2 linked regions of the Mus musculus genome follow. The protein of the gene in region 2 purifies or fractionates together with the protein of the main gene of each other region. This does not show direct contact. Links are inferred from orthologs where the notes say so. Each region holds a gene or a part of one and is shown on either strand. Other genes may lie near its edges.

Region 1 (2,459 bases), on a different chromosome or scaffold from region 2:
CTAAGCCTCACTCACTCCTGCAGCCATAGACCTCCTTGGAAGAATGCTGGTACTAGACAGCGACCAGAGGGTCAGTGCGGCCGAAGCCTTGGCCCACGCATACTTCAGCCAGTACCATGACCCTGACGATGAGCCAGAGGCAGAGCCCTATGATGAAAGTGTTGAGGCCAAGGAGCGCACGCTGGAGGAGTGGAAGGGTGAGCACAGGGATGGGGCGTGGGGCGTGAGGATGGGAAAGAGAGCAGTGTCCGTGAACCTGAGGGTTGCCTTTTCTCAGAGCAAGATTTTACCTGTTTCATGCAGGAACTCCCCAGAACTTCCCCAAAGGTCTGGGATGGGGAGGGGAAGCAGGGGGTGGGGTGGGGGAAGGAGGATGGAAACATATCTGTTTCTGAGTGAGACATGTAAGGGTGTGTGTGTGTGTGTGTGTGTGTGTGTGTGTGTGTGTAGCAGAGGTTTGGAGGGAAGTGGGCAGACAGCATAATCTCACCCTTCCCCCCTTTTTCATTCCCCTCCCCAGAGCTTACTTACCAAGAAGTCCTTAGCTTCAAGCCCCTGGAACCCTCACAGCTCCCTGGCACCCATGAAATTGAGCAGTGAGGCATTGCCTGAAGTGGGAGACCTGAGCCTGTCCCCTCTACTCAGCTTTCCGGCTTTCCTCAAGAGGCGCCTCTCAGGCAGCCCTGACACTTAACCTGGGACCGACCCCCTTGCCTTGAGAAACTCTACACACACACACACACACACACACACACACACACACACACAGAGGAATGCACGGATGTGTACATATGCCTCCCTCCCATTATGTGCTGGAGTCTGGGCAGTAGTGTTTCTGGACCTACCTTGGTCCACCCAGGTTCTCCTTGGGACCTCCGTGTGTGGGATCTGAGTGTGTCCCTGTCCTTGTCCAGGTCTCTTCTGCTCTTGAGGACTATCTGGATTGGGAGGAAGGCTAATGGGCCATGGTCCCTGGAGACTCTGAGGGAGGGGGAGTCACAGTGGTTGGAGATGCTCAACCAGGAAGTGAGTGGCTGAAAGCAGAGGCAAGCCCAGTGTCCCTCCTAACTGAGTGGCGTTTCCTCTGGGGATGGGAAAGCTGAGACCACCATCAGATTATCTATCTAGTCAGAAAAGCCTGCTGAAGATTTGTGGTTGCCTGTGGTATGTGGGCACATGGGCATGAGTATGCACCCTGGGATACACATCAGAACAAATGCAGGCATGTGCTGGTGTGTATGAATCTCTGAGCACCCAAGAGGCAGCAGCCATTTCTGGTCTGGTGCCTAAGTTGGAGATAACTCTTGCCTCCTCTCCCCCCAAGTTCCTGTTTTCTAATGGGTCTTGAATCCCAGCTGTGAACTAGACCAAAGGCTCTGAGAGGTGCCAAGATCCATTAGTTTAAGCAAATGTAAGGGTATAGGAGCAGCAGCAGGATCCTGAGTCACAAGGGCACAATGCCAGCTGGAGAGCTGATGAAGTTGGGGGTCTAATCTCAAGGATGCTAGGTGGCCAGCACCCACGGATGTGAGCATGGACATTCTTGCCCCGGGACCTTGATTCAAAGTTGACAAACGTCTGTCCACGTTCTACCTCCACCAACCCTTGAGGTTCTGCAGCTGGTCTGGGGTGCTATGGTTTGCAAGTCACCCCTCATCTCCCCATCCCCCAGAGAGGAGCTGACCAAGTAACTTTTGAGGTAGGGCCCTGTTTGAAAACGCGTTGGGGGTGTAACGCCTCCCTGAAGAGACAATGATCTCTTGCTTATCAGGGACCAAGGGGCTCTGGATGTCAAGTGCCTGCACCAAGAGTGTGCACAATAAAGGGGCATCCCTCTTGCTCTTGTCTGTGCAAAAGGCTCTGGATCCCATTGCTTCTACTGATTCTGCTTCCTGGAGGGGTGGCTGGATCTCTGTGCCTCCGTACACTTCCTGCTAGCGCCACCGACTTTGAATTTATTGTGCCCCTTGATCACTCAATGAGAGCAGCAGTCATTTCTAGTACTATCGCAGCTTCTTGGGGGTGTGTGTGTGAAGAACCCAGGAGACCAGTGCAGGACAAGACACACTGGTTAGAAGGGGCAAAAGGTGTAAGAGCCAGCACACTTTGGTCCCTGCACATTAGGGACTTTGTACATTAGGAATGGTGGACAGACTTGGCTCCCTCTTACTGGTGAGGCTGGGGATTGTCCCTAGAGAAAAGATCTGTTCTTCCTCAGGGATTGGACAGGATATGGGAAATAGCTTTCCTTCCTGACTAAGGCGAAAAGGCAACTTTAGCCCAGGATACAGCTCATGTGTCATGTCTATGTCCTGAATCTTGGACCGCCAGAGATCTGAGTCTGGCAACTGGTCCAGCGGTGGAGGTTGGGGCCGGGGGTGGGGTGGGGGGGTGGACCTAGAAGGCAAGAGCCAAGTCCAAAGTTGGGGGATTGGGAGCGGGAGCAAACCCAAATACAT
Region 2 (4,442 bases):
AGACGGTGGACTCTGGTCCCCCACTGCCCCGCCCCCCGGAGCGCTTCCCCCCCAGGCGCAGGCTGCGTTCAAAGTCTAGCAGCTGCCCCATAAAGTTGAAGTTAGGTGAGATGTTAGACTTCTTCCGCTTGACCAAGTCGTAGGCATCGTTGAGTGAGAGGTGAAGCTTCTGCATGAGGTAGGCCACGGTGACAGTGACAGAGCGGCTGACCCCTGCCAGACAGTGGACGAGCACCCCACAGTTCTGCGACAAGGCCTCATCTAGGTAAAACAGGACAGAACAGAAACACCCCCTAAGGGTCACTATGAGTGAGACCAAAGCTATACGAATTTCTGGGATCACCATCACTGCCTCCCTACCCTGCCGAGACCATATCTGAAGGATCTCTCTCACTGGCAGTTGACCTGAGCTCTACCCCCACCTCCCCAAGTGTCACGTGGGCTCTGGGAATGGAGTCAGGAGGACGAGAGGCCAAGAATCAGTCTGGTGGGTGGAGATTGTGGAGGGGGAGGGACAGGGGGACAAAGTAGGGAGGACTTACCAATGAATGCAATGGCCTCCGGAAAGAACTGGGACAGATTCTGGCTCCAATGGTCAGAGATGGGGATCTGCTTGTAGTGGAAGTCACCATTCTTCTCAAAGAGGTTAGGAAGGTTGGGGGTGACATTGAGGATATAGCGGATGCCAAGCTTGGCCAGGCTCTCCAAATTGGCTGAATCTCGAGCACTGCCTAGGTAGAGATTGGGCAGGATCTGGACTGGGAAGGGTGGTAGCAGCCCAGCTGGAGGGGATGTGGTGTTCTCAGAATCTAGGCCACAGCTCAAGGTGTCACGGTCAGCCTCAGACTCTGCATCAGAGAAATCAGAGCTCAAGCACAGGCCACCTAGCCCCACCACAGGCACTGGGCTAGACATTGAGCCCAGGCCTGAGCCGGCACGACCACTGAAGCTGGTTTCACACAGGTGAGGACACTCGGCCTGGAACTTGCTGAAGCCACCTGTCAGGAAAGAAGGGCGAGGTCTTACTAGTTAATATAGCCTCTGGGCAGCCAAGTATCCCTAGCTGGGGCTAGGGAGCTGACACCACACAGCTCTCCGGGGTGGGGGTTGCAGATATTGCCAAAGGGAACGCATAAGCCAGCAGATTTGTTTAAACCACATGTGCTGTGCTATAGACAGCCATCCACCCTCACTCAGCATTAGTGACTGTTTCTTTGGCTGATAAGTGCCCAATGCAGCCCTTAGTCTTGGGGCATTATCCTGTGAACCAGGTTGTTTCAGGTCAATTCTCCCCATTATCCAGACTTATAAATGGGCTTGGAGGGATGAAGGACTTGCCCAAGGTCACGGTCAGCTCTGCCTCCCCAAAAGCTGTTGGGCAGGTTATCAGGAGGGAGGCGCTTACCCTATATTTTAGACAAAATAAGATTGAGTTTGCTGAAGGATAAAGTAATTATGAAATCCCCTTGGAAAGAAGGATCTTTTCTCCTGACCTGAGGCCTCTCCAGAGTGCTCTCTCAGGCCACTGACCCTCACTTACCCTGTAGGTAGTATGCTGGGTAGCCTTCTTCCCGCAGCTTCTGGAGCAGGACGCCCAGCACCGAGTCAGCATCCCACTCTTCTTTGGCCTCCGCTTTGGCCTCCGCTTTAGCCTCCGCTTTGGCCTCCGCTTTGGCCTCCGCTTTGGCCTCCGCTTTAGCCTCCGCTTTGGCCTCCGCTTTGGCCTCCGCTTTAGCCTCCGCTTCGTTCTCCGCTTCAGCCTTAGGTTCGGCCTCCGCTTCAGCCTTAGGTTCGGCCTCCGCTTCAGCCTTAGGTTCGGCCTTCGCTTCAGCCTCCGCTGCTTCACGATGGCACTGGCCACTGCTACCCTGGTCGTACAGGAGCACAGGGGCCGGTGGGGGAGGCTGCAGTGGTGGCCCAGGCAAGAGCGACCGCACCGACATGCTCCCCCTCCGCAGGCGGCGCAGCATCAGCGAGGGCAGGGCCACGCTCAGCGCCCCGCAGATGCGCGCCGACTCATACAGCTCCCGGCTGCGGCAGTCCAGCAGCAGAAGCTGTGGGCGCGGGGACGACAGCTCCTGACGCAGCCACAGGCATGACCGACTCAGACTCTCCATGGTCGCGCAGCGTCCTGCACGTCGGGCAGTGGGTGCTGTGGAGAGAGGCAAGGCGCGGAGTGAGGGCAAGTTTGTCTCTACTCCTGCAGCGTGGATCAGGCTACTGAGGCGGGAAGTCAACCCCTGTCCTGAGGGCAGGCTTTCAGTGTCCCCGCAGGGACATTCCTCTACCGCCTGCTTCTCTCCTCGCGCTCCACCCACAGTGAGAACACCAAGGAAGGCGCCCCTGGAAAAAGACCCGAGGCTGCCGCCACTTGGGCGCTGCTCCCTGCCCCGCTTACATGGAGTTTTCGTGAGACATACCCCAGAAGATAGCTGGGCGTCTACCGGTCTCTGAAGTGCTAGGAGGACTAAAACCAGTTCCCTCCACACCCCTTTTCTGACTTTCTCATTTGCTCTGATCTCCATCACTCCCCAAGTTCAATTTTGGATGTGTGGAGAAGTTGGGTTCAAGGCCCGGCTCTCCTCTAAAGCCCGGAAGACCCAGAGAACAAGAGGGTCACCGAGGTTGTGGGCCTCGGCGAGTCCCGTAAGAGCTGACTCGGCCCCACTCCTACCCACCCCAGGAGAGAACAAAAGGAGAGACCTGGAGCGAGATCCAGAGGCAGGCGACTGCACCCGGACGTCCTGGCCACAGCTAGTGCCACGGCAGGGCGTAGGTATCGTTCATGGAGACGGATCCCCCAGGCTTGGGCGCTCGGAGAGGGCGGGGTGGTGGAGCAGGCTCGCACGTGGAAGCCAAGCCTCGCGCCACTCGTGCGCCGGCCGCTTCCTGGCAGCAGAATCCAGATTCCACCTTGGAAGGCTCTGCCTTCGGACCGACTAAGTAGCAGCTCAAAGGGGCGGGACGGGGCGGGGCGGTGGGGCGGGCTCAGGGAGCAGGAGAGCCAACCAGGGCTAAGGAAAAGCCTGGTGGGAGTTGCAAGCCGCAGGCTGAGCTAGGGCTTCCACCCAGGCGGGACAGGGTCAGGGCAGAGGCCAAGGGCAGGTCGGGGGCCCAGCAGGGGACATGTTGCAGTTGCCCCTGCTTGGCGCCAGTCTGGTCCCTGGAAGCAGGAAGAGGGGTGGGGACAAAAGCCCAGAGCCCCAGAACCAGAAACTGTCTCAAACAACTCAATAATGCTGAACTACCTGGAACTAGATGGCCCCCATCTGTATAATGGGCCAATCAGAGCCTTCTAATGTATTTTACTGTGAGATGCCACTAAAAAACTGAAGGCACAAGGCAGCTCCTGGGTGTGCTATTTCCATCTGGGCTTCATTTGTACAGGCCTAGCTAAAGGTACACAAGAATTCCGAGCACCCAACTCTAAACTGAGACACTGTGCTCTTATCAGGTGAAGAGGGGCGCCTCCCCAAAGCCTCTTTCCCATAAGCCCCTGGATGGATCCACGTGGAAAGAAGTCGTTTTACTGCAATATGTCCCCATCCCCATTCTCCTTCTGGCTTTTCTAGTGGTCATGACTATACAAGTCACTGTCCCAGTTTTTGAAACTTCAGCGTGTCTCCACCCTGCCCCATTCCAGAGCACCATTCAGTCCACTAAGGCTGGTGGCCTCCAGCCAGCCCACTGGACAGGTGATGAACAGGAAAGACACACAAGGGCTCTCCTTGCCTGGGTGTTCTAGTCCAGCAGGACACACTAACAATAAGCAAAGGCACTGGACCAGATATCGGGGTGATAAGTGCTGACAATGAAAGGAGAGGCAGGGGAGGCTTCTAAAAAAGCCCCATCTGGCCATGTGTCCTTTCTCTGCTAAAAGCCCAAGAAAAGCAAATAACAGTTTTAAAGGAAAACACACAACAGATAAGATAAAGCTCGCACAAAATAATCAAAGGGTTAAGACCCCGTAGATAAATGGGTAAGGAACTCAAGGACTGCATACTCTGCCCAAAGGAAGGAATGTGATGGGGTAAGAATATATGGGGAAAGGTTGAAGCTCAGGCATGGAAGGAAAGCCAATTCAAAAAAATAGGGAAATACTTCCCAGTCACTACATTAGTAGAATGTTCTCAAAATGAGAACGCCAAGTGTTGGCAAGAGCTGACTGGGGCTTGATTATGTTGTGGACAAGTTAGTGGTGGCATGAGGCCATGGATGCAGACAGCTGAAGAGACAGTATCTTACCCTCCCAATCCTGGAGGTTGTGTACTTGGAGGGAGGATCTCCAACAAGAGGGAAATACTGGTATTCCCAGAAATCTAGCTGTGCTCTCCGGAGTAGGCTTTCTAGAGGAAGTGATAGGAACTGCCCTGGAGGATGAGCATGGGAGAGAGGCACCTCTCCATGAAGGTACGGGGAGCCTAGGCATCAATAACCCGTTC

Evidence for each region. Proteins that work in one complex are often made in the same cells at the same time.
Region 1: the proteins of Dusp9 (region 2) and Mapk11 purify together in Homo sapiens (affinity purification with mass spectrometry; 4 studies listed by BioGRID and IntAct, with this or other methods). This does not show direct contact. The link is inferred for Mus musculus from reciprocal best matches to the Homo sapiens genes DUSP9 and MAPK11.

What each region holds. Positions count from the first base shown.
Region 1 is NC_000081.6:89,141,879-89,144,337, reverse strand, and holds the end of Mapk11 (mitogen-activated protein kinase 11), read left to right. Parts: intron 1-23; coding exon 24-197; intron 198-520; coding exon 521-600; 3' UTR 601-1,856; downstream 1,857-2,459. UniProt on the Homo sapiens protein: Serine/threonine kinase which acts as an essential component of the MAP kinase signal transduction pathway.
Region 2 is NC_000086.7:73,637,903-73,642,344, reverse strand, and holds the start of Dusp9 (dual specificity protein phosphatase 9), read right to left. Parts: upstream 2,905-4,442; 5' UTR 2,704-2,904; intron 2,153-2,703; 5' UTR 2,118-2,152; coding exon 1,541-2,117; intron 999-1,540; coding exon 543-998; intron 262-542; coding exon 1-261. UniProt on the Homo sapiens protein: Inactivates MAP kinases. Has a specificity for the ERK family.